Linked DNA regions of Cricetulus griseus. The protein of the gene in region 1 purifies or fractionates together with the protein of each later gene. This does not show direct contact. Links are inferred from orthologs where the notes say so. Each region holds a gene or a part of one and is shown on either strand. Other genes may lie near its edges.

Region 1 (7,868 bases):
GCACACAGCTTAAGCCTGGAGGGTGTCTGCTGAGAGTCCCTTCTTCCCAGGGAGGTGGGCTTCTGTTCTGTCAGGGTCTTTGGCAATAAACAAGGTCCATCATCTCCTGATGGCAGGTTATCTGCTTGATGGATTTAAGTTTTAATTATACCTGAGACATCCTTCAGAGCAACAGCCAATATGGTTTTGAACAGTATCCATGGCTTAGCCTATGCTTCCTCCTGTGACATCCAAGAGAGGAGTGCAGAGAAGAGACACCCTGGACCTGGCTTCTGGGTGGCAGGTGCCACCGAGTTAGGAATGGCAGATAGGCCACCCTTTTCTCAGGAAGGAACAATGGTAGAGACCCAGTGTGGAGGTCAGTAGTGATCCCTGCAAGGACCTTTGACATAGCAACATCCCCTGCCAGTGACCAGGAAAGATGGTGTGAGGACAGATTGCCCACATGCAGAGGTATTCTGTGTAAGGCATTGTGAGGGAGAACCTGACTATGTAAGAACAGGGGCATGGAATGACATCACTGTCTCTCTGGCTGAAGCAAGCGTTCTTGTACTGACCTGGCTGTGACAGGGTGCCTTTTTCTTCCCCATTCTTTTCTTAAAGATAAAACGATTAAATTATGGAAGATCACCGAACGAGACAAGAGGCCCGAGGGCTACAACCTGAAGGATGAGGAGGGGAAACTAAAAGACCTGTCCACAGTGACGTCATTGCAGGTGAGCATGTTCCACATTTACGTTCTACCAAGCCATTAGATGTTTAGGACTCTCAGAGCCAGGGTCAGGGCCACACTGTTGTGACATGATTCCTGAGGTGATGAAGGAACATCTACTCATCGTGGATGGGGAACCAATGACAGATCAAGATACTGCCAAGTCCATTCATTTGTGAGCCAATGAGTTGGGTTTTTATTTATTTTTGTCTTTTGGTGTTTTGAGACAGGGTTTCTCTGTGTAACAAGCTCTGGCTGTCATGGAACTCTCTCTGTAGACCAGGCTGGCTTCAAACTCACATAGATATGCCTACCTCTGTCTGCCAAGTGCTGGGGTTAAAGGTGTGCACCACCATGCCTGGCCAAACCATTGAATTTTATTGGGGTTACTTATAGAAGCTGAAATGAGTGGTAAGCAGCTACGTCGCCAAAGCCCACCCCAGCATGATAACACCTCACAAAAGTTGGGAACCTGGAGCACACTGCACAACCTGCAGCCAACTCGACAGGTTGGCAAGTCCTTTCCAGGTGGCTCAGCTGGTCTGAGTCTTAATCAGGCGGCTTGGCTGATCAGGTCGCTGGTCTCTGCTTCTTTCTGAGCAGCTTGTTGGGGAATAGATCTTTGCAGTCTTTATTGCTTATATATTCCAGAAAGGGAGGGACTTAGTGAACCCGGTCAGCTTCAGGAACTTCCTGAAGCTACTTTGAGTTGTTTATCTACTGTCCAAAAGGAGCTTCCCTAAAAGATGAAGTATCTCACCTCCCCTTATTAGGTGGTTCTCAACCTTCCTAATGCCATGACCCTTTAGTACAGTTCCTCAGGTTCTAGTGACCTCCAACCATAAAATTATTTTCATTGCTACTTCATAACAGTAATTTTGCTACTGTTATGAATCATAATGTAAATATTTGCAATACAGGGTATCTGCTATGCGACCCCTGTGAAAGGGCCTTTCGACCCCCAGAGGTGTTTCAGCCCACAGGTGAGAACTGCTACCTTAGACCATCCTGCTGTTTCACCTCCTTGTAAACATCCTGTCCTAAAATATCCCATTGTTTCACTTCCTTTTTACATCCTATATCTTCAAAATTCTCCCCAAGATGAAAAATTTTAATCCACTACACAGCAGACACCCTGTATGCTTCTCTCCTGGCATGGTGTGGTGGGCTGTGTCTGTGAAGGGCTCTTCAACTGCAGTTGAGAGGGAAAGCAAGTCAGAAAATTCCCATTACAGAAAGGAAAAACTGAGGCCCAGAGTATAGCCACACTTGCTCTGTAGTTACTGAGTTGAGCTCATCCTGGGTATTATAGTGTGGAGGGAGTTGGGCTGGTCTTCTTTGGTGCAGTGAAGGACAGAATGTGGTGCTGTAGAGTTGTGGCAAAGTTGACGTTTGTCCTGCTTAATTAAAAGACACAAGGACTTGCATCCTCCAGCAGAGTGTGGAACTTGCAAGAAAGAGTTTTGGTGGCTGGAGTGCTTGCTCAGTGATTAAGAGCACTTGCTGTTCTTGACTCCCACCACCTACATGGCAGCTTATAGCTGTCTGTAACTCCAGTCCTAAGGGATTTGATGCCCTCTTCTGACCTCTTTGGGTACCAGGCACACCACATAGTGTGCATGCATACATCAGTCAAAATGCTCATACACATAAATTATAAAAAGAACAAGAGAGAGAAGCGTGTGTGTGTGTGTGTGTGTGTGTGTGTGTGTGTGTGTGTGTGTGTGTGTGTGTGCTGGGCACTTCAGTTTATAGGGAGAGACCCTGGATACCTGTACTGCTGACCATGCCCATTTGGGTATGGTCACAGGTACCTAGAGGGGTAGGATAAAGAGCGAGGAAGAGGCGCTCCTCATCTCTCGGGGGTGTTCAGGCTAGGTCTTGGAGGCATCTGGGACTGGACTTCTCAGAGTGCCAAATCTGGTTATTGGTTCCTTGTGTGAGTATCCCTTCTTAATAAATTACCAGTTAATAACCTATCCCATGTTTGATCTTGTTTCTCATCATCAGTTCATGCAAGGTGGGCAGGTTTATTCCTGAGCCCCTTATACAGGCCAGGAGGCTTTGAAAACCTCACAGTTAAACAGCCATGTAGAGCATGCTGCGCTAGCAGGGCAGGTGAAGGACATTTGGTATCTCTGACCATTGATCTCACACACGACCGCTTGCTTATTTCACACCCTGCTCCTGAATGAGTGTTGCAGCTTCCCATTAAGATCGTGTGTTCTCTGCCAGGCAGTAATCCTTTAATCCCAGCACTTGAGAGGCAGAAGCAGGAGGATTTCTATGAGTTTGAGGCCAGCCTGGTCTACAGAGCGAATTCCAGAACAGCCAAGGCTACACAGAGAAACCCTGTCTTGGGGGAAAAAAAAGATTGTGTGTCCTGTGACTTCTCCGGCCCCTTCCCTTGTGACTCTGACTGTCTCTGCTCTGCAGGTCCCTGTCCTGAAGCCCATGGACCTGATGGTGGAGGTGAGCCCGAGGAGGATCTTTGCCAATGGCCACACCTATCACATCAACTCCATCTCAGTCAACAGCGACTGTGAGACATACATGTCAGCAGATGACCTACGCATCAACCTCTGGCATCTGGCCATCACTGATAGGAGCTTCAGTATCCTTGGCTTGACCTGCTGGGAAGTGGCTTCAGGGTGGTATATAAGCACACTGGCTTCCGGGCTTTAGTTTTGGCAGCTTCCTTACTGTGGTCCCATCTAGGGTGTGAAGGGGGCCAGGTGTAGGACCACAGTATTTATGAACACTTAAAAGACACAGCTGCTGAGAAGCTCCATCACACCCCATGCCTCCTTAGGGTGGCAATGGTCTCCATCACCTTGGTCCCCATAGGAGCCATGAAAGGTCAAGAGAGCTAGAGGCAACATGTCCGGTGTTGTGTCTCTCTGGATATAGAGTAACAACTGGGGTATCAGAGATATGGGTGTCAGAAGCTAGCCAGAAATGGGATCCTGGTGTCAGAACAAGCTAAGGACTGAGCACTGCCCCTCCTCCAGCCTGCTAAGGAGAGGACCACCTATAGGATGTGTGAGTGTAGCCTGCACCAAGCTGGGGAAGGTCAGGGCCAATCCAGAAAGGGCAGGTTGCTACCATGTCACTGTTGTGTGGACTATTAATGCCAGCCATACTAAGTGATGTTTCATGTACTGAGCTTTCACACAATAGGATAGTCACCAGCCCCTTTGCAGTAAGGGACCTGAGTCATTGAGTCTGAGCTCATTAGATGACAAGTATCTACTGAGAGGGAGTGAGGGGCAGGGAATGGCATAGCGATGATGTAATGGAGACAGTAAAGAATGTTGACTTCTTCAATTTGGGCTGTGTTGTAACTGTCTTTGGACCTAGGTGGCCACAGGACATTAGAACAAGATAGTTGTATATGAGGAAAGAGAGTTGATTACTCCAGCACCAAGACTTGTTTGTCCCCGTGTCACTGACTTCCTTTTCCCATCTAGAATACAGGAGTTATGCTCATCCATGTTGAAGAGCACAGCATTCACCAGCAGAGTAGAAGGGGGAGCATGTCAGTGGACTGGCGGGCCTTGTGGGAACTCGAGTGGAAAGGGGAACATGTCAGTGGACTCGTGGAACTAGGGAACTAATATGGCTGTTGTGGACACACTGTGTCCAACTTGTGTGTGGCTCCAGTTTTGTGAAAGTGCCTGGTAAGCTGGTGACGAGAGGTGCCTGACTTGTTCAATGCAGGAAGGGGTATGTGTCAGGTGCTGAAGACCCGGATGTGGCTTAGGGAAAACTAGGATTTGAAGCAGCCTCCTGTCTGACTGCCAGGTTAATCAGGGAGCCATGTTGCCCCACTGTGGCCTGCTGGTACCAGGCCACAGAGTGATGAGAGTCAGACACCTGGAACAGAGCTCTGGGCTTATTCCCTGGAGGTGAGCCTCTCTTAGCAGAAAAGGGTCTGGACTCTGGGCTGCAGGTGTTTCCACGGATCTGATGGCAGCTGAGTAATTGGAGATGTCTCCCTTCTGGCATGGAGAGAGGTATGTGTGACCTCATGCTGAGCTGGGATGGCTTTGAGCTTATGTGATACCCTCTGAGGGATGTACGTGTATGCATGTGTGTGTGTGTGTGTGTGTGTGTGTGTGTGTGTGAGAGAGAGAGAGAGAGAGAGAGAGAGAGAGAGAGAGAGAGAGAGAGAGAGAGAGAGAGAGACCTGGAGGATCCTGGCTCATCCATTCTGGGGAGGAAGCTGAGGTCAGGGTTGGAGGTGATGCTGAGTGCAGAGAGCTGGACTGAGTCTGGACCAGGGTCTTGCATTCCTTTCTGTCAGCCTCTGCTCAAAGTTCTCAGTGGTCCCTTTGGCTCCTGAGACTGCTCTGGGCTCATCAGTGGTGGCTGGTGTTCCTTGGTAACACTTCCCTCATCCTCTCCCCCAACTCTCAAGATTTGTCTGTCCTTCAGGGACCCATAGGGCCATGTTCCACCCTCTGCTTATTCCCCTCTTACTCTTGGCCCCATGATCCTTTTGCCTATAAGCCTCTGCCCACAGTTCCATGGCCCAGTCCCATCTGTCCTTGCCGTGTCCCTTCTGGGCTGACAGGTCTCCTCCTGGGCCCCATTTCCTTTGAATTTTAGCTGCACAGGGATTCCTTTGACTGCCCCTCTGCCCACACAGTTTTTGTCTTGGAACCCAGGATGAGACCTTCCTGTGTCCCTGGCACTCCACAGCCCAGTGCAGAGGTACTGTGAGCATTTCTAAACAGAGCAGGCAAATGACTTACAGTGCATAAGCCACCGCTTGCATGCAGGTCTAGGGCAGCCACTCTCCTGCCTGTTTGAGACCAAGGTGACTCAAACACCAGACCCTAAGGAGCTGGAAGTCAGGTTGTGCCCCAGGGTCTGGTGCGTGGACTCTCCTTTGGCTTCTTCTCAGGGCCATCAGCTTCCAGGAAGGTGGAATGAGCAAAGCCAAGTTCTCCTCAGGGGCCTGGAAGCAGGCCAGCTAGTATGCCCATGCCTCTGTTCCTTCCTGTAAGTTTTCCCTCAGCCTCACTCAGCCTGTTTAAATCACCCCATGTCCTGAGATACCAGCACTTGCAGTGTTTCATCCAGAGGACAGAGTTTTAAAAAACTGGTTCACAGAGGAGGTCTTTCCACACAAAGACACCTTCCCAGTCAGAAAGATCTTTTCAGGGACTTGAGATGTGGCTGACACTGCACTGTGACCATCATTTCTGTCCAGAATCTCAAGATGAGGCTGATCTGCAGTCAGTGTGTTCAGGGGTTGTTAGCTTCAAATTGAGTCACAGAGGCCCACGGTGACTGGTGTCCTTAGCTGAAGTGGCTATAAGGTCACTGACACAAGGATGGGCCAGCAAAGACTAGGTAAGGACATGGGGAACAGAGCAGGTAAACCTGTGGCAATGCTAGCAATAGGCCTTGGGGGACTCCTGCCATGTCTTTACCTTAGCAGTGGAGTTCTAGGTTCCAAAACTCTGAGAACTAGGTGCCTGAGGCTTCACCCACTCACCTTCAGCATTGTGCTGTGGCAGCCAGGAACTGGGTCTAGGGTTTGGCATGCTGTGCCTTGAGTGCCCTCAGTTCTTGTTTGCAGCCAGGTCATCTGCTGGAGAAAATTTAGAGAGAGAAAAAAATTCTTTTTTTAGATTGTCTCTTATGTTAGAAGGCCTCGGGGCTCTCCACACAGGAGGCCCTTCTGCAGGGTTCTGGCAGAGCTGCCTTGTTCTCACTCCAGTCACTACTTGGTTGCCATGACAACATCTTCTGGTCTTGAGAGCAGGCTCCTGGGAAGACATGTGGATGAGCCTCATGCTTTGCCGGGTGCAGTCTGTGGAGCCCAGGGCTTGCTCATTCTCTCTCATGAAACCTCCATTTGCACTTGGCATCCACCTTGTTGAGTGACAGCCATAGCCAGGGCATCAGGGTCCTTGGTATGCTGAGGGTGCTGGAAGGCCTGCCCTGCCCTGATGTTTGGAAGCCAACTCCTTCCTCCACAGCTCCACATGTGGCTCTGGGTGTGTCCCTGCTCACCCAAGCCTCCCTGCTTTCTTCAGGGATGGGCTCCATGCTGCCTTATATCCAGGCTATTGCTGTGCCTGGAGGCCCAGTTTGTTGTTACATCCCTATAGTCTCCATGAATGCCTATGCAATGGGGGTTGGTATTGGTTCTCTGCTCTCTGTGTCCACTTCTCCCTTGATATTTTGCTAGAGCAAGCCAAATCTTCCAGGCCACAGTCCAGACTCAGTGGATGATTAGCAGAGAATTTCCTGTGAAGAAGGAGTGGCTCTTAGTCCCCATCACTGCATAGTATGGATGCCATGATTCAGTGAAAGGAAGCCATGAGATACACAGCCCCTCCTCTCCACAACTCACCACTCCAAAGTGATAGAATGACCAAGGCTGAGCTTTGGGAGACTAGGCAATGCCTTTGGTGACAGGAGATGAAGGACAGCCTATAAAAGTCCCTACACTCTGACAATGCTGCAGAGGCCCATGTGGCTCATGTTTCCTGTGTCCTTGACAGGAAGGACCACAGATCTCATTGTGGGACCCAACACAGCCTGGCTCTGCAGTAGCCTGGCGCTCTCTCACCTAACCTACAGCTCACACTGGGGTATAGCAGGTGAAGAGCTACACCTGCCTTTCAGGGCTGTTCCTGACAGTCTATCTACTACCATCTCTTCTGGTCCCTAGTGGCCAGTGCTGTCCCATCACTGAGTCACTCAGTAAGTGTCTCTGTGTCCCACCCCCAGCCCCTGCACCTGTGCCACTCTTTCTTTTGTACATTTCTAATAAGGACACTTGTGTTGGATTCCAGGCCACCCGGGGAAGCCAGGAATGCTGTCACCTCAGTACCCTCTTTTAATTACAGAATTGTGTTGCTGTCCCCATTTCCAGTCTTCAAGGGTCACATAGCATCTCACCTCATGGCCACCCAGGTCAGTCCTAGAAAGGAACCACTATTTTTCAGTCACACCTAAGCCCCCATTTTGCACATGGGGAAACTAAAGTTTTTGGGTTCCCATGTGGCATAACATATTCTAGAGAGCCAAGTCCTGACATATAACCCAGGACCCCTAAATTCTGACCTGATCTCCAAAATTAAAGCCACCTGGAGAAGTCATATTTAAGGGTATCTGGAAAGCCCCACTGACATGG
Region 2 (7,868 bases), on another chromosome or scaffold:
GAGACGGCATTTTCTCTCAGCTGTCACTTCTTCAGAGCATTCTGCTGACTGACGGTCAGTGTTCTGTTACACTATTTCCATGACATTTACGACTGATTTTTATCATGTTCATTTTTCTTCATTAAAATGCAAGTTCCATGAAAGCAGGGTCCCTGTATGTCCTTAACACTAGAACTGTGCCTCACATATGTAGGTACTCTATGTAGCCACTCAATAAATGTTTCTGTTAATGAGTAAGCCATGAGCGGATCTACCAGTTGTCACAGAAGGCATAGTGTATACATATTTCCTAACAAAGCATTCAATATTTTTTGGAGGAACAAATGCTAACAGCCTGCCCCACCTATAAATTGGTGAGTTTCATGTCCATTGGTTTCCATACTCTGTGGCTGCTTCAGCCACAACAATTACAACAGGGATATATGATCCACAGAACTGAAAATATTTCCTGGCTGTCCTTCACCAGAAAATCTGCAAACCCCTAGTCTACTACTTTGCAGGAAGTATAGAAGATAAAAGAAAATATCAAATTATGCCATGGGAAGTATAACCAGCTAAATTCCAAATAAGGATGCTAAGCTTGCCCTGCTCCAACATGGAAACCACCATGTATGTGTGGCATCTGCATGCTTGAAATGTTGCCAGTGTTCAAATTATAAGACTTAGAAATTTGGAGCTGAAGCCCACATACATTCAAACCCCAACTGCACCACAATTAGCTAAATACAGCCTTGAACAAGCTTCATAAACTAGCTGGACCTCCATTTCCTTGAGTATCTATGCCATGGGCTGTTAGGAGAACCTAATTCCATAATACATGCAGCTACTTAAAACAGGCTGGTAGATAACAGTCAGTCTGTGTCCATGGTTTCCCCACATCAATGGAGTCAGCCAACCAAGGATCAAAATATTTGGGAAATTTTCTTTGTCTGTAGTAAATATATACAGACTGTTTTCCCGTCATCATTCCCTCAAGTAAGTAGTATAACAACTATTTACAGATCATTTACACTGTGGATTTTTTATTTATTGTTTGTGAGAGTGTGTAGGTACACACACACCACAGCACATATGTGGAGGTCAGAGGGCAACTTTCAGGATTTGGTTCTTGCCTTCCACCTTGCTGAGCTGCACTGTGCACCCCAGACTGGCTGGCCCATGATTTTCAGGGTGATCCTCCTGTTCTCTGCCTCCCACCTCACCATAGGAGTTCTGGGATTGCAGATGCATGCCACCATGTCCAGCTTTGTATGGGTTCTGGGAACCAGACACAGGTCCCCAGGCTTGGGCAAGCATCTCTCCAGCCCTACTTTATGTTGATTAGGTATTGCCAAGTAGCCTGAAGGTGACTTAGAGTAAGTACACAAGAGGATGTATACAAGCAGTGGCAAATACCACACCATTTTATATATGGAAACTGAGATCCAGATGACCCTGCAACCATCTCCACCATCCAAACTGAAAACAACTGTATTAAGTAATTTAGGGGTTGCTGATTTTTATCGTTTCTACACCAAAGAAACCAAGACCCTTAGATCTAAGATTGCTATTGTGTATAGTAATGCCATACACTAGTGTAGAAATTAACGAAGTCAGGTTTCCAGGAAACACTTCACCTCCATATCACAATACAGCTCACGAATCTGAAAGATACCCGTCCCTGATGCAGCCCTGAGATTCCTAGTTATGGAACCCAATTCATCTCTGACTCCTCCTCCTAACACCTACTAATGTAAAGAAAATGGGGCCTGGTTAAGAAAGAAACACAGGAGGATGGACACCAAGCTAGAACTGAGTATTAACTTTACAAAAGGACTCTACATTAGAGTCAAAACTCCCCAAATAAATGGTTTCTTTAAAAATTATTAAAGAGCATATCTGTATCTCCTAAATCTAAAGCCTTGAGTTACCTGTTCATCTGAAGCTAGATTCGTGAACAATGGTACAATTTCAGTTTTCACACTGTCTAATTCCAAAACTTTTGCAAATTCGCCCAATTTGGAAGCAGCAGCACGTCGCACCATTGGTGTGTCATCTGAGCACAGGGAACGGAAGTGCCTGCAGCATGAAATAAGGTATTTCCTGTCAAACACTTGGTTAAGCATGCCCCAATAACAAGAGATGGCCATTTAGAGCATTTCCCTTTCAAACATCAATGATTAGGTTTCTACTCACAGATATAAAGAAAGGACCAGGAAAATAGCTCAATCAGGAAAGTGCCTGCCTCCCAAGTGAAGCCCACTCAGAGTCCCCAGGACCTACACAAATAGCTGAGTGCAATGGCAGTAAAATAACCTCAGAGGTGGCAAGATGGGAGATAGAGATGGACAGGTCCCAGAAAGCTCGAAGGCCAGGTAAGCTAGCATATGTGGTGACGTTCCAGGCCAATGAGAAACCTTGTCTCAAAGAAAATGAGGAAGGTACCTGAAGACCAACACCAGAGGTTGCCACATGAAACACACACACACACACACACACACACACACACACACACACAGAGAGAGAGAGAGCCCTCAGTATATTCAACTACATGAAAAAGCATCACCAGGGGCTAGAGAGATGGCTCAGAGGTTAAGAGCACTGAGTGTTCTTCCAGAGGAATCAGGTTCAATTCCCAGGATCCACATGACAGCTGACACCTGTCTATAGCTCCCAGATCTGACATCCTCACACAGACATACACGCAGGCAAAACACCAATGCACAGAAAATAAAAAGAAATAAAATTATTTTAAAAAGAAAGGAAGAAAGGAAGAAAGAGAGAGAGAAAGAAAGAAAGAAAGAAAGAAAGAAAGAAAGAAAGAAAGAAAGAAAGAGTATCACCAATCTTGCCTGCCTAGTATGAAACAATAATGGGAACAGGGCACTGTGTAAACTCTGGCTGTGAGTCCCTAGTAATCCCACACACTAAAAAATACTGGCTCTTACTGTCGAATTTCGGCCTTGACAGCATTTGAAGCTCTGGGGTAGCAAACGCTGAACAAACCACATGCAGATGTGCGAGAGGTGAACCAATCCCCACTTGCTAGGCGTTTCACCAGAGGTACAAAATGAGCTTCGAGTGCAACGGGAGTGTGCTCCTGAGAGATCTGCCTCAGGGACTCCACAGCCTTGTCTCGAACAACAGTCTCCTCCACAGTAGCCAAGCTTTCCAAAGGAGGCTGCAGAGATCAAAAAGGGAAAGCAGAGATGACAACTTATTAAATCAGGTTAGACACAGATTGACACCTTTTACATGACTGAAGGGAAACGGTACATGGAACCAGAATGTTAACTACATCATACCAAATGGTTACTTTCAGTTCACACAGTGATAACATATGGTGTGGCCAACCTGAAGACACGACTTCTGTAGAAAAGCCAAGATTGCATGTCCCAGATGGCAATCCCCAGATGGTGTCTACAAATGACACAGTGGAAGAGACTTGACACAGTATCACTATTATTAGGAGCTGAAGTTTAAATGATATGCAGCCACATTCAGACAGGAACAGGTCCAAAACTATGGCCAACTGTGGGTAACACAAGTGCATGGTAATTTCTGGTCAGGCTACTGAGTCCATACTTTTGTGCATCACCCTACCATTCTTGGAGGTGCAAGCAATCCTGTCCATGAAACCTCAATGGCATCAATTAAAGCAACCAATAAAAAGCTGAGTCAGCACCAGGTTTTGGTGGTTTTTTTGTTTTGTTTTATTTTGTTTTTCTTCTTTTTTTGGGGGGGGGGGCCGGAGGGGGGGTCAACACAGGGTTTCCCTATGTAGCTTTGGAGCCTGTCCTGGAACTAGCTGTTGTAGACCAGACTGGTCTTAAACTCAGAGATCCACCTGCCTCTGCCTGCCAAGTGCTGGGATTAAAGGTGTGCACTATCACCACCCAGCAACACCAAGTTTTTTTTGTTTGTTTGTTTGTTTTCAAAATACATTAAGAATCTTTCTAAGAGCCAAATAGGAGTTTCAGACAGAACAGTCAAATAATAAATGCAGAGATGGGGGAGATCTTACAGCTATAGAGACATAAAAAGATAGGAGAGGTTCCAGGTCTGGCCCTTGTCAGGAACTGAATGTGACATGGCCTGGTAGACATGGAGAAGGGCTGCCTCTCTGAACATCCAGCTGCCTTTCTAACTTTGCATTTGATCCCAGTAAATTCAGCATAAGGTACCGATGCAGAGACTAGAACAAACTCCACAGCAGCACTGACCAAGAGTGAAGGTCAGGACTTAGGGAAGGAGTGTGCCTGCCTAATATGGTTCAAAAATATAGACAGCTCTATGCTCTCCTACAGGGGATATCAAAGACCCACTGAAAAGACACCGCTTCTTACTAGTCAGTCTGTCACCATCTGTCCCCTGCCTACTGTGACATAGCCTCACACTGCTACACTGGCTTGTGAGAGGTACCTGCGCTTCAACTCTGCCCATTTTCCAATTTCAGGGCTCTGATGACCACTGCTGCTTGCATTTTATACATTAGCAGCTTTGAACCCAGCAAGTGTCACGGTTGTAAGCCTATGAGACTCATTCTTTCTGTAATGAATGCAGTTATGTTGCAGCACTGAGGATACAGAAGGGATGAGCACACTAGATGCCTCGCTCTAAAGGACTCTACATTCTAATGGTGGAATCAGATGAAAACAGGTGAAGGGCAAGGGGGTGAGCAAGTGGCTACTCCAATGGTGGTCAGGGAAGGCCTCTCATATAAAATGCAGCTGTCTGACTTACGAGGAGTCAGCAACAGAAACTCTAAATAGCATCTCTCTAGAGATGACACCTACAGCCGATGTCTTAAGGCAATATGAGCTGGGTTTACAATGAACAGAAAAACCAATGTGTGGAATGAATTACCAAGAGGAACAGTGTATATGCTATGAGTTTTTCATTGCTGTGACCCAAAATAGCTAACAGAAACAAAGAACTTATTCTGGTTCACAGTTTCAAGGGTTCATTTCATGGTTGCCTGGCCCCATGAGCCTCGGCAGAACAACATGGCAGTAATAAAGTGTGGCAGAAGAACATCTCTGCCTTACTGCAGATAAGCAGAGAGTCCAAGGACAGAGGCAAGATACCCTGCCCCCAACATCCCACCTCCCACAGCTAGACCCCACCTCCTAAAGTTTCCACAAACTCCCAAAATAATGCCACTAGCTCAGCACATGAGTGTGTTTTTCATATGGATTGGTATAGATGCAGAGTCTACAGGACAAACTGCTCAGATGTGAGGGAGGATGAAGGACTTAAGAATGCCTTCTAGTTCTGGACGGCAGCTCACTGAACTAGAACATACCCAGCATGCAAAGGCCCTGGCTTCAATATCTAGCACCACTAAAAACAACAGCTATCTTCTAGGTTGTGCTGGTATAACTGGATAGCTGGAGACAGCCCATCTATAACTCTGTTGATTTCTACTAGTCTCCACTTTATCTGTTACCCATCTATGTCTGGAGTTCTACAGAATGGTTCATAGTAGAACTAGGAATCATGGGAGCCAGCATCATATATTCAATATTTAAAGCCCTAAAACAGATGGTCCTGCCTTGTCCAGCTGGTCAGTTTCTAGTCACCCTTTAAGGCTTAGTTCATCTGCATAGTGGGGCATACCTTTAATCTCAGTACTCCAGAAGCAGAGGCAGGAGGATCTCTGAGTTCAAAGTCAGCCTGGTCTACATACAGTTTCAATCCAGGAAAGACTACAATAGCAAAACCTTGTCTCAAAAATACAAACAAACAAACAAAAAAAATTAAGTCCCTTCCCTCCCCATCTCTGACAAGCCTACAGAGGCAGAAACAAGTTCTTATATCCAGCTGATAAAAACAAGAGCTGAGCTAAAGTGCCTACATTATTCATTCACTCAACATTATTACCACCTGCCCATAAAAAGACTTACATAAAAAATGTTGCAGTGTAGCAGATGCAGAAATCCAAAACTAACCATTAGGCCAAGCTCCTGGAGTATAATCAAAGCCATAATATGAACAAAGGGAGTCAAGACCATGATGGGGAAGCCCATAGAATCAACTGCTCTGAGCTAGTGAGAGATCACTGATTCTGATCTAACAAATGGGGGATCTGCATAAGACCCAACTAGACCACCTTAATATAGGTGGCAATGGTGTGACTGGGACAATATATGAGGCCACTGACAGTGGGTCCAAGACCTAACACTAATGCACAAACTGACTTAGTGGAGCCCATTCTATATGGAGAGATACCTTGCCCAGCCTAGACACAGGGTGTGTCGGGTGGAGAGGTACCTTGGTCCTACCTCAACAAGATGATGGGACAGACTTAGTAGACTTCCTAGGAGATACCTTACCCTCTCCAAGGAGAAGATGGGAGGTGGCGGGGAGAGGAGAGAAGGGAGGGGGAATGGGATTGGAATGTAAAAAATTAAATAAAAAAATACTATAAAAAAAAAAAAAATGCTGCAGTGTGCCTATCACCAGATAATAAATGTGGTTAATCCTACAGAGTTCCAGAAGGGTAGGCCATAGGTAAGTACTCACCAGCAGACAGTGGGCAAAGTCAGGACCTCCCACCAAACCAGTGAAATTTCCCAGCTGCTCAGCAAGAGCTAACAGCACCTCATCTTCATCATAAATTGTATCTGAAAATAACAGCAGTTGGTTAGCCCATAGAGACAAGTGCCACTAAGCTAGTACTTACACAGCTGCTGCAACTACAATTCTAAATAGTATTGTCTTCCTTGTCTAAATCAGAAGTCTTCATGAATGTTTCACAGAATTACTAAGAAATTAATATCCCATGTCAACTACCTTCCCATTAGTTACATGCCTTATGTTTGAGTATGTCTGGCTTAACATTTTTTTCTATACACATTGCAGAAGGCACCTGCTCCTTCTAGTACTTATTGCTACACTACGTAACAAACTAAAAACAGTTTGAAAGCCAATGGAAAATGGCTTTCTTTAAAGGACACATACCTGTAAGGAAAGGCAGCAGTTCAGTTCGAGTCCTTTCCACTCCGAGTGCTAAAGCAATAGTAGATAACTTCTTGATACTGTTGAGACGGAGCTTCAAAAATAAAGTGGGAAGAAGAACAAAGCAAAGAGATGGTTGCAATTCAGGTCAAAAGAAGCAAATAGGTGAAACACTGGTATACAGTATATAACGAGGATGAGTCTTTCACTTAGATCTTATTCCTAAAATAACTCAAGGACCGTTTAAACACGTCATTAGCCAGAGGCTATCCTAGGGAGAACACTGAAGGGCCGGGAAAGAAATGAATGAATGAAAACACGCGGGCAGTGAGAGATTCTGAAAAGAGAGAACTCTGGACCGAAGGAAGCAGGTGAAACGGTTAAACACAACTCCTCCCTTTTCAGAGAAAAGTTCCATCACAACTGATGCACCACTCATCTGTGTTAATCAGCTGTGGCGCTCTTCCCACCCAACTAGCCAGGCCAGTTTGCCAGCAGAGACAGGCACTCCGCAGCGCTTCAAAGGCAGCCTGGTGCCCGGGCCGCTCCTCCGCTCCCGGGCGGCCCCGCAACCCACCAGCAACCCACCGGTGCTCGTCCACCGGAGGCGGGAACTGGCTTGGCTCCCCGCCCACTGCCGGAGCAGCCGGGTGCCACCACCCCAGAGGCTCGAGGTCGAGCTGCTGGGAGTCCAGGCGGACCACCACGGAGCCTCCGCCACCCCGTCCCCTACGAGCGCTGAATACAGCTCTGCCGTCCCCGGGGCCGCCCCCACGGCTGAGCCGGCCTTCCCGCTTCTCCACCATGTGCGCCTCCGCCCTCTCCTCGACTCCCCAGCCCCAGCCTAGTACCTGCACGTCCTCATTGCGGAGCTCGTCGATTAAAACCGCGATCGGGTAGAGCGAATCATCTCCATCTCCGCCGGCTGC
Region 3 (7,868 bases), on another chromosome or scaffold:
AACTTTCTCCTGAAGTAAGTTTTCGACATTGCTTTACTAAAGACTACCCAAAAAGCTTAGATTACCATGTAACATGATAAAAAAAAAAAAAACCTTTAAAAGACAAAGACATGGGCTGCACGTGTAGCTTTCCCTGCATACATGATGCCCTCACTGCCATTTACAGAGTACATTGTGTTTCAGAGCCTTTTTCTACGTAAGTACATCTTAAATCTTAGCAGCAGGTTATCACAAATATAATTTTGGAAGTGCTCTGGCAAAGGCTCTTGGATGTGAACAGGTTTGGTTCTGTGATAGTGTAGTGAGCCTGGCTGCCATTCAGTGTGGCTCTGATTGTTCTACAGAATTGGATACCTAGAAAACATGTGTCCATTTAGTACCACCTTTTTGTGACTCAACAGAATGCTTTCTCTGCCCAGATCTGCACAAATTAGGTTGGAAAGGGCTACCCTAGACATGGTGATTCTTCCTCAGTTCTTGCTGTCGGACTCAGAAATGTACTGATGAGTGACCTCAAGGCCACATGCCAAGCTGTCTTCCCAACAGGCTTGTGTCCTCCCTCCTTAGAGTTCATTTCTCCAGGGTGTTCGGAAGTTCCGAGTGAAGCACTTTGTCTAGCTCTTTAAGACATTCAAACTCTTTCATGCTACTTGAAAAACTCATCTTGCCGTTGTGTTTTAAAATGCAGTCAACACTGTGCCTGCCTCAGGCTCTCCAATCATTTATTCCAGAGTTGGGTTGTGTCTCTACAGGAAATTAGCCTTTTCCTCTTTAAAGTAGATTTGAGTACCTAATTCTTAACTCATTCGAGAGTTTAGTTTTTCTAAATATTATAAACATCTCTGTGCATGACAAAGATCTCTGGAGTGGTGTTACATTGTAAAGATGGATGTGATTGGCACCCTGTCCCCACGACCTCATATTGCCCACAGGCATGGGTTGAGGCTGGGGCTTTTTCCCAAATGCACCTTCTTTTCTCTCCTGAGCCTTACGCTCCTGCTGGTTTTTCTGCTCTTCTGTGCAGTTCCTCATGACCTTTTTCTCTGGTATCAGTGGTCTCACTGAAGAAGCACTGACATTTCACATCTGTGTTCTCGGCATTTCATGTCTTCAATCATTAATCCTTGCTGCATCTTATCTGGGCAGGTCAGTAATTCTCACTGGCATAGATTTGGAAACCTAAGCTTCAGAGATGTAAAATACCTTTCCTAGGACACTAGGGTTAGAAAGAGACAAACTCTTAAGTCACTTCTAGTTCTCCCTAACTTTGTAGTTATTATTCTCTTCCATGAAGCAGCTATGACATGGTTACAGTAATTACTGTGTCTGATGCTTACCTGTTCTTATGTCTGCAGGCTGAAAGAATATTTTTTCCAAATGTGTATTGTCTCAAGGCACAAACAAAGCAGGAGTTTATGTTAGCACATTGGTCAAATCCTCATGACAGCTGCCATCTGGGCATGTTTATTATTGCAGCTTTACAGGAAGGGAAACTAAGGTTCACAGGCACTGTCTCTGGCCCTAAAGCCAGTCTGGCTGGCAGTGGAGACTGGATCCACTTTTTTTGAGTCTTTGCTTAGGCTCCCTGTGCGTGCAATGCTTTGCACATACTAGTAGAAAGCCAGAGCCTCTCACTTTCAAGACTCAAAGCACAAGAGATTGTGGTCCTAACTTGTACAACAGTTGGAATTTGTTTCTTGAGTCTTATCAAAAGGGTAAACATCCATCTATGATAAAAGACACTGAAAACTTGTATGCATGTGCATATGGAAGGCATTGAGTAGAGTGTTTGCAGAGTGCATTCTGGGTATCAAAACTGTAGTGTCACTGTGACTAAGATTATAAGGGGAAAGGCTTACAATTGTTTTGAAGTATAATGCCACTGCATTCCAGAAATGAGCATATAAGTGATAGTGGTGATGGGTGGCTTGTGGCCAGGCCATATGCTATCATTTGTTAACAAGATATTCAGATGTGTATCTGCCTATAGTAGGATGTATGGATCAACGTTTAAAGAGTTGTTAAAAATTCTCAGTTGCCTCAAAAGCTGGTATATGTTGCTACTTAGTTGGGTTTTACTCATTTACCTCTTATAGACTATACAGAATGAAAAGTCCATTAGTAATCATCAAGTAACTTACATTCTATAGTAGTCAAATTCACAGTGGTTGTCCACACAAATAGAACAAAAAAAGAAAGGCATGGTTTAAGAATTGCAAGGCAGGAAAATGATGAGTTCAAAGCCAGCCCAGGGCACACAGTGAGATCCTGTGTCAAAACAACAACAAAGACCATGGTTTAAAGTCATCTTCTATCTCTCACATGTTCTGTTTTAGTGGAGAACTCAATTTGCATATGCATTTATTCAGCAATGTTCATTATTGATTATTAGCTTATCACTGTGGTAATTATAGGGAAATACTACAAGATAGATGTCACCCTCATCTTTGTGGTCTCACATTACAAAATTGATTATTGAGAAATGCAGTGTAGATTGGGAGCAGAAATGAAAGTAACATTTATTTCCATCCCAACAGATTTCGGTTTTGGAAATTTCTTTAAAACTGGTGAACTTCTTGCAACATGGTGTGGCAGCCCCCCTTATGCAGCCCCAGAAGTCTTTGAAGGGCAGCAATATGAAGGACCACAGCTGGACATATGGGTACTGCTTTGCTTTGATATGTTAAATGTATCTATCATAATAATTGGTACTCTGACCTATCTTAGAAGCTCCTGATATTCAACACATGGATAAGATTTCATAGTCTCCCCATCCAGTGGACTGTAATTAGTCAGAACATCTGGAGATGGATCCCTAGGAAAGAACTTCTGGGGACAAGTGTCACCATCCTAATATCAACAACGATTTGAAGTGATGTGGTGAGCAAAATGATCAAATTCAGATCATTTGGTATTTATGCCTAACTCTCACCACAGAAGTAAGATGGGAATTTTGGACAGGAACCCATCAATCCATGTAGTTTTAGGAGCTGTGGCGGGTTTTGGAAAATCAGCGTGTTGAAGTTCTCCCTGAAAGTGACTGCGTTGTTTTCTTCCCTAGAGCATGGGAGTTGTTCTTTATGTCCTTGTCTGTGGAGCTCTGCCTTTTGATGGACCAACTCTCCCTATTTTGAGGCAGAGGGTTTTGGAAGGAAGATTCCGGATTCCATATTTCATGTCAGAAGGTAACGAGCTGTTCCACATATTGGCTGTGCATTACGGAATTTGTGCTGTATGAAGTCCTAGCCAAAATTTCCCTGCTGAGAGTTTGGGTACCAGATAAAATGACTAAGTCATTTTAAAAGCCATGGAGCTCTGCAACACCCTCCATGTAGACGAGACAAGTTCCAACCTTCCTCCTTGTAACTGAGAACAGAAGCTACCCAGATTAAGAGCAGCAAGTCTTTCCATTCAGCTTGGGTCTATAAATGTCCCGGTTTATTTTAGACTCCATAGATGCTGGCTTACAATCATTTTACTCTATGTATGAAATAGATTTGCAAAATTAAAAGTCTTAAATTCAAAGTCAACTGGTGGAACTCTGATAAATTCAATTGAAATGCCACAGTCCCTACTTGTCTTGTTTTAGGCTGTCATATCGACGACAGTTTGATGACTCCTTAGTTGTGTCTTCAGTTTTCACCCTTATCTCTTATTCCTGCAAACAGTAGACATAATTAATGCACTGGGGAAGGCAAGGTCATACAGGCTCTGGAGACAGACTACCTGGTTGGAATCCTGAGTTAACTATTCACTGGCCCTGCAGTTTTGGCTCATCTGTAAAGCGGAGTTAACAATAATTCCTGCCCTTGAGGTGACATAAGGATGAAGAAATTACTCTGCACAAAGCACTTAGCACAGTGTCTGATAGATGTGAGTGGCAGGAGGCTGAGTTGGAAGAGAGTGGTGAAGAGCTTGCTGTCACTCGGAGCTGCAGCTGCAGTGTACATAGTGTCATCAGAAGCAGAGCTGCATACATGGTCCTTGGCAGCACTGATGAGAAAAGCTGCCGCTCACTGGAACAAGCATGATGCTCTCCCAGCTGGCTTTACTGAACATTCCTGAGTAGGACCAAGGATCAGTTCTTGTTCTGAGAATGAAGCTTAGAATTATTTTTCCTTTGTTGAAATCTAAGTGTGGCTAGATAAAACGCACCAGAAAGGCTTTTTCAGCACACAGGTAGGCTTATACTCACTTGTGTTTCCTAAGTGTTTGTTCAGCATCTGAACTTGACCAGTCACCCTTCATGCATTCATTTGCTCATTTGTCCTGCAGTGAAGGATACAGATATAATAAATGTTGTGCAAAGTAAGTATGGGCCATGTAAGTATGTCTGAAGGTGATCTATGTGACTTTTTATGGTTTTTTTTTCCACAGATTGTGAACACCTTATTAGAAGGATGTTGGTCCTCGATCCTTCCAAACGGCTAAGCATAGCTCAAATCAAGGAGCATAAGTGGATGCTCATAGAAGTTCCTGTACAAAGACCTATTCTCTATCCACAAGAACAAGAAAATGAGGCGTCTATCGGAGAATTTAATGAACAGGTTCTGCGATTGATGCACAGCCTTGGAATTGATCAGCAGAAGACTATTGAGGTAAAGTGATGGAGATGTGTCTGGAGATATTTTAGGGTTCTTCTGTGTTTGTCCCTTAAATTTCCATGCTCACACCTGTCATTCTGGTCTTTTAGCACATACTCTCCAATGCCTGGGTGTACTGCTCAGGGTTCCCTGATGATGACATCAGGCTCTATTTACAGTTGCTGTTATTCAATCTCTAATAATCTCCTTCCTTCACCCTCTCTGCCAAGAAGCCCAAGGAAATAATTTTCAGAGGATTCAAAAAAGGCTAAGACTGGGGCTTAAATATACAAGATAGAGGCTGGGCATGGTGGTAATACACACCTTTAATCCCAACACTGTGAGGCAAGTAGATATCTGTGGGTTCAAGGATAGTCAGAGTTATATAGTGAGACCCTATCACCAACGAATACAAGGTTTCTTTGAAAGTGAAATGAAGTTTGATAATGGTATAAAACCAGTTTGTATGAACTATAAATGTACATATATGGAACAAGACTAAGGACTGAGCCAAGAGCCAACAGAAAAGCATCACATTAAAGCAAGCCAGTGGAGGGTTAGGAGACCCAGAGAAACTAAACAGGCAAAACCAAGTGAAGTTGTGGTTTGGAAATATTAATGGTTATAGAATGAAGAAAGATTTGAACCTGGAAATTTCCTCTTGGCTTTTTTTTCTATCTAACAGTTAGCATGCATATAGAACATACACAGTGCCTGCACAATAGCAGCCCCACCAAAGCAGAGCAGTGCCTTTATAGAGACTGTTTCTTATCTCCTATTGTGGCTGTGAGCAAAACCAAACTTGCTGTCTCACTCTGTGCTTTGTGCACTCAGTGATGTTTTCCATGGAATAGATTCTGGGCTTCTGTGGGTCCCTCTGGTCTGTGAGTTTTTTGTTTTTCCTGAGGGTTTCCTGTTACCCCATACAGCACCCATATGGATTGTCAGGTGGTATTAGAAGCCAAAAAAGAAGTTGTTTCTCTATTGCACTGGCGTCCCAGGAAAGCTGGCAGACTAGCAATGTGAAAAATTTGGGAAGTAAGTTTTTATTCAAGGTTTTCAAAGGGTGGGACTGCAGAAACAAGAGGAAAATATTACCTAAGAACACAGACACAGTGTCTCTCCATCTACCATCCAGATGTCATTGTCCAGCCCAAAATAACCACCAGAAAGCTCTGCAAAGGCTTTGTTCATTCACGTCAGAGTTTTCAGAATTGAACTTGGTTTGCCTGAAGCTTCAGAGTTAGAACTTTGGAGCACAGGGTGCTGGCCAGCCTTACTTAGTACTAAGTACCTTGGTATCTAAAATTGAGTGAGTGAAAATACAGATCTAAAATCTCAAGCCAAAATTATTATGGAAATTCATGTGCGTGGATCTCAGAGGGCTCACTTGTTCCTGTACAGCTTTATTTGTTAAGACACAAACGAAATATCTCCACATGTACCTTTGAACATCATGGCAGCAGGGGCACATGGCAGAGGCTATTACTCCCTTCTTAGAAGCCGGGGGAATGGAAAAGGGAGGTTTTGTGATTTTTATTTGCAGAACACTTACCTTACCCTCCCCTTTAAAGAAGTATAGATCTCTTAGTTGGTTTTTATCGTTCTCTACCTTCAGCACTTGTTTTTTCTTTCAGTCTTTGCAAAACAAGAGCTATAATCACTTTGCTGCCATTTATTTCTTGTTGGTGGAACGTCTGAAATCACACAGGAGCAGTTTTCCTGTGGAGCAGAGACTTGATGGCCGCCAGCGCAGGCCTAGCACCATTGCGGAACAAACAGTTGCCAAGGTAACGGCCCATAGAGCCACCAGTCTCATCTATGCATGTGCTTTTTTATGTTTGGTACAAAAGGTTAGTATCTCATCTTCTACAGTGTTTTCCTGGGTTTCAGCCACCGTCACTCACTAGAGTCTCAAAACTTTTAGCACCTTCCTGCTTTTAGGGATTAACTTTAATTTTTTTTTTTGTCTTTTAATCACTTAATCATTTGCTAATCTTGAGAATTAATGTAACTAGCCTGTACTTTCAGTTCATTTAACAGAATTATGTTGCACATTGACCATGTGCAGGCTGCTGTTGTTAGGTACTCTAGGAGTTTGAATGCATGGAACACCATCATGGTTCTCAAAGCTGTAGTCTAGAAGCAATAAGAGAAGGCCAGAATCATTCTCTAGGACAGGAATATGGGTGCTATTGAAGAGCTGAGGGCAAGGGAGAGAGGCTTATTTGAATAGGAAGAGCTTCATGGGAAAGATGACATTTAAAACAGCTCTTCATGGAGGTATGAGACTGTGAAAGCAACATTCAATACCAAAGACATGACTAGGAAGGTGATGCACACAAAATGAATAAAAGTGCTCACATGGCCTGTAGGCCCTGTTCCTACTAATTCAGTCCATTTGAGCTGAAGTCTAAGAAAATAAAAATTTGGAATGGTAATTGGAAGCAGTATTGTGAAGAGCTTCCTAATGCCAAGGATGACTTATAATTGAGGAAGCAATAACAATCTTACGAAGACCATAAGCCAGTTAGTATGGGAGCATTAGAAAGGATGGCTTGGTTAGGGAAGAGCTGGGGACAGGGGGCAGGATCTCACTGGCTGGCCTGGAACTTGTTATATAGACCAGGTTGGTCTCCAACTCCCAGACATCCACTTGCCTGTACTGGGATTAAAGGTGTGTGCCACCCTGCCTAGCCTAGGAAGCGCAGAAATTTTTGAAGAATGCCTCTGAGATTCTTACACTAATTGAGATGCAGAATGCTGAAGACTTGATGTAGTGCTGGTAGAAAGGGAGGAAGGGCTCAGACAGCTAGACCTGTGTGAGTTTAACACTGATGGGAAACGCAGCTCCACTTAGTGATTAGAGGCAGGGGTGCCAGAGCGATTCCCAGATTCTGTGCCTCACTTGACCTGTCCTAAAATGGGAATGACACTAAGTGCTGTGACAAGATGAGTTGATATCTGTGAAGCCTGTAAACAGTACCTAGCACATAGCACATGCTGAGTATCTGTTCCACAACAGAGTTAGAGGCAACATTCTCCTCAAAGGCCTAAAGACACAGTGAGCACATAGCTCAATGCTAGGAGAGTGATGTGGTCTGAGAGAGGTCTAGGACTTGTGTGGAGCGGCTGGGAAAGGAATGGTTTCTTCCCATTAAGATGCCTGCCTCATCTGTAAGTAGCACTCCATGTTAAACAGAATTATAAATGTACAGGGATATAGAAAGATTTTTTCATTGGCTTCTATAGAACATGAAAAAATGAGGGAATGAAAATTCTTGA

The links.
Region 2: the proteins of Ppp2r2c (region 1) and Ppp2r1b purify together in Homo sapiens (affinity purification with mass spectrometry; 4 studies listed by BioGRID and IntAct, counting the BioPlex papers as one, with this or other methods). This does not show direct contact. The link is inferred for Cricetulus griseus from reciprocal best matches to the Homo sapiens genes PPP2R2C and PPP2R1B.
Region 3: the proteins of Ppp2r2c (region 1) and Sik2 purify together in Homo sapiens (affinity purification with mass spectrometry; 3 studies listed by BioGRID and IntAct, counting the BioPlex papers as one, with this or other methods). This does not show direct contact. The link is inferred for Cricetulus griseus from reciprocal best matches to the Homo sapiens genes PPP2R2C and SIK2.

The regions. Positions count from the first base shown.
Region 1 is NW_023276807.1:105,891,882-105,899,749, forward strand, and holds part of Ppp2r2c (protein phosphatase 2, regulatory subunit B, gamma), read left to right. Parts: intron 1-603; coding exon 604-716; intron 717-3,148; coding exon 3,149-3,326; intron 3,327-7,868. UniProt on the Homo sapiens protein: The B regulatory subunit might modulate substrate selectivity and catalytic activity, and might also direct the localization of the catalytic enzyme to a particular subcellular compartment.
Region 2 is NC_048597.1:162,628,707-162,636,574, reverse strand, and holds part of Ppp2r1b (serine/threonine-protein phosphatase 2A 65 kDa regulatory subunit A beta isoform), read right to left. Parts: coding exon 7,791-7,868; intron 7,034-7,790; coding exon 6,943-7,033; intron 6,606-6,942; coding exon 6,505-6,605; intron 3,161-6,504; coding exon 2,928-3,160; intron 2,059-2,927; coding exon 1,911-2,058; intron 1-1,910. UniProt on the Homo sapiens protein: The PR65 subunit of protein phosphatase 2A serves as a scaffolding molecule to coordinate the assembly of the catalytic subunit and a variable regulatory B subunit.
Region 3 is NC_048597.1:162,681,655-162,689,522, reverse strand, and holds part of Sik2 (serine/threonine-protein kinase SIK2), read left to right. Parts: intron 1-2,537; coding exon 2,538-2,662; intron 2,663-3,061; coding exon 3,062-3,185; intron 3,186-4,377; coding exon 4,378-4,598; intron 4,599-6,220; coding exon 6,221-6,373; intron 6,374-7,868. UniProt on the Homo sapiens protein: Serine/threonine-protein kinase that plays a role in many biological processes such as fatty acid oxidation, autophagy, immune response or glucose metabolism.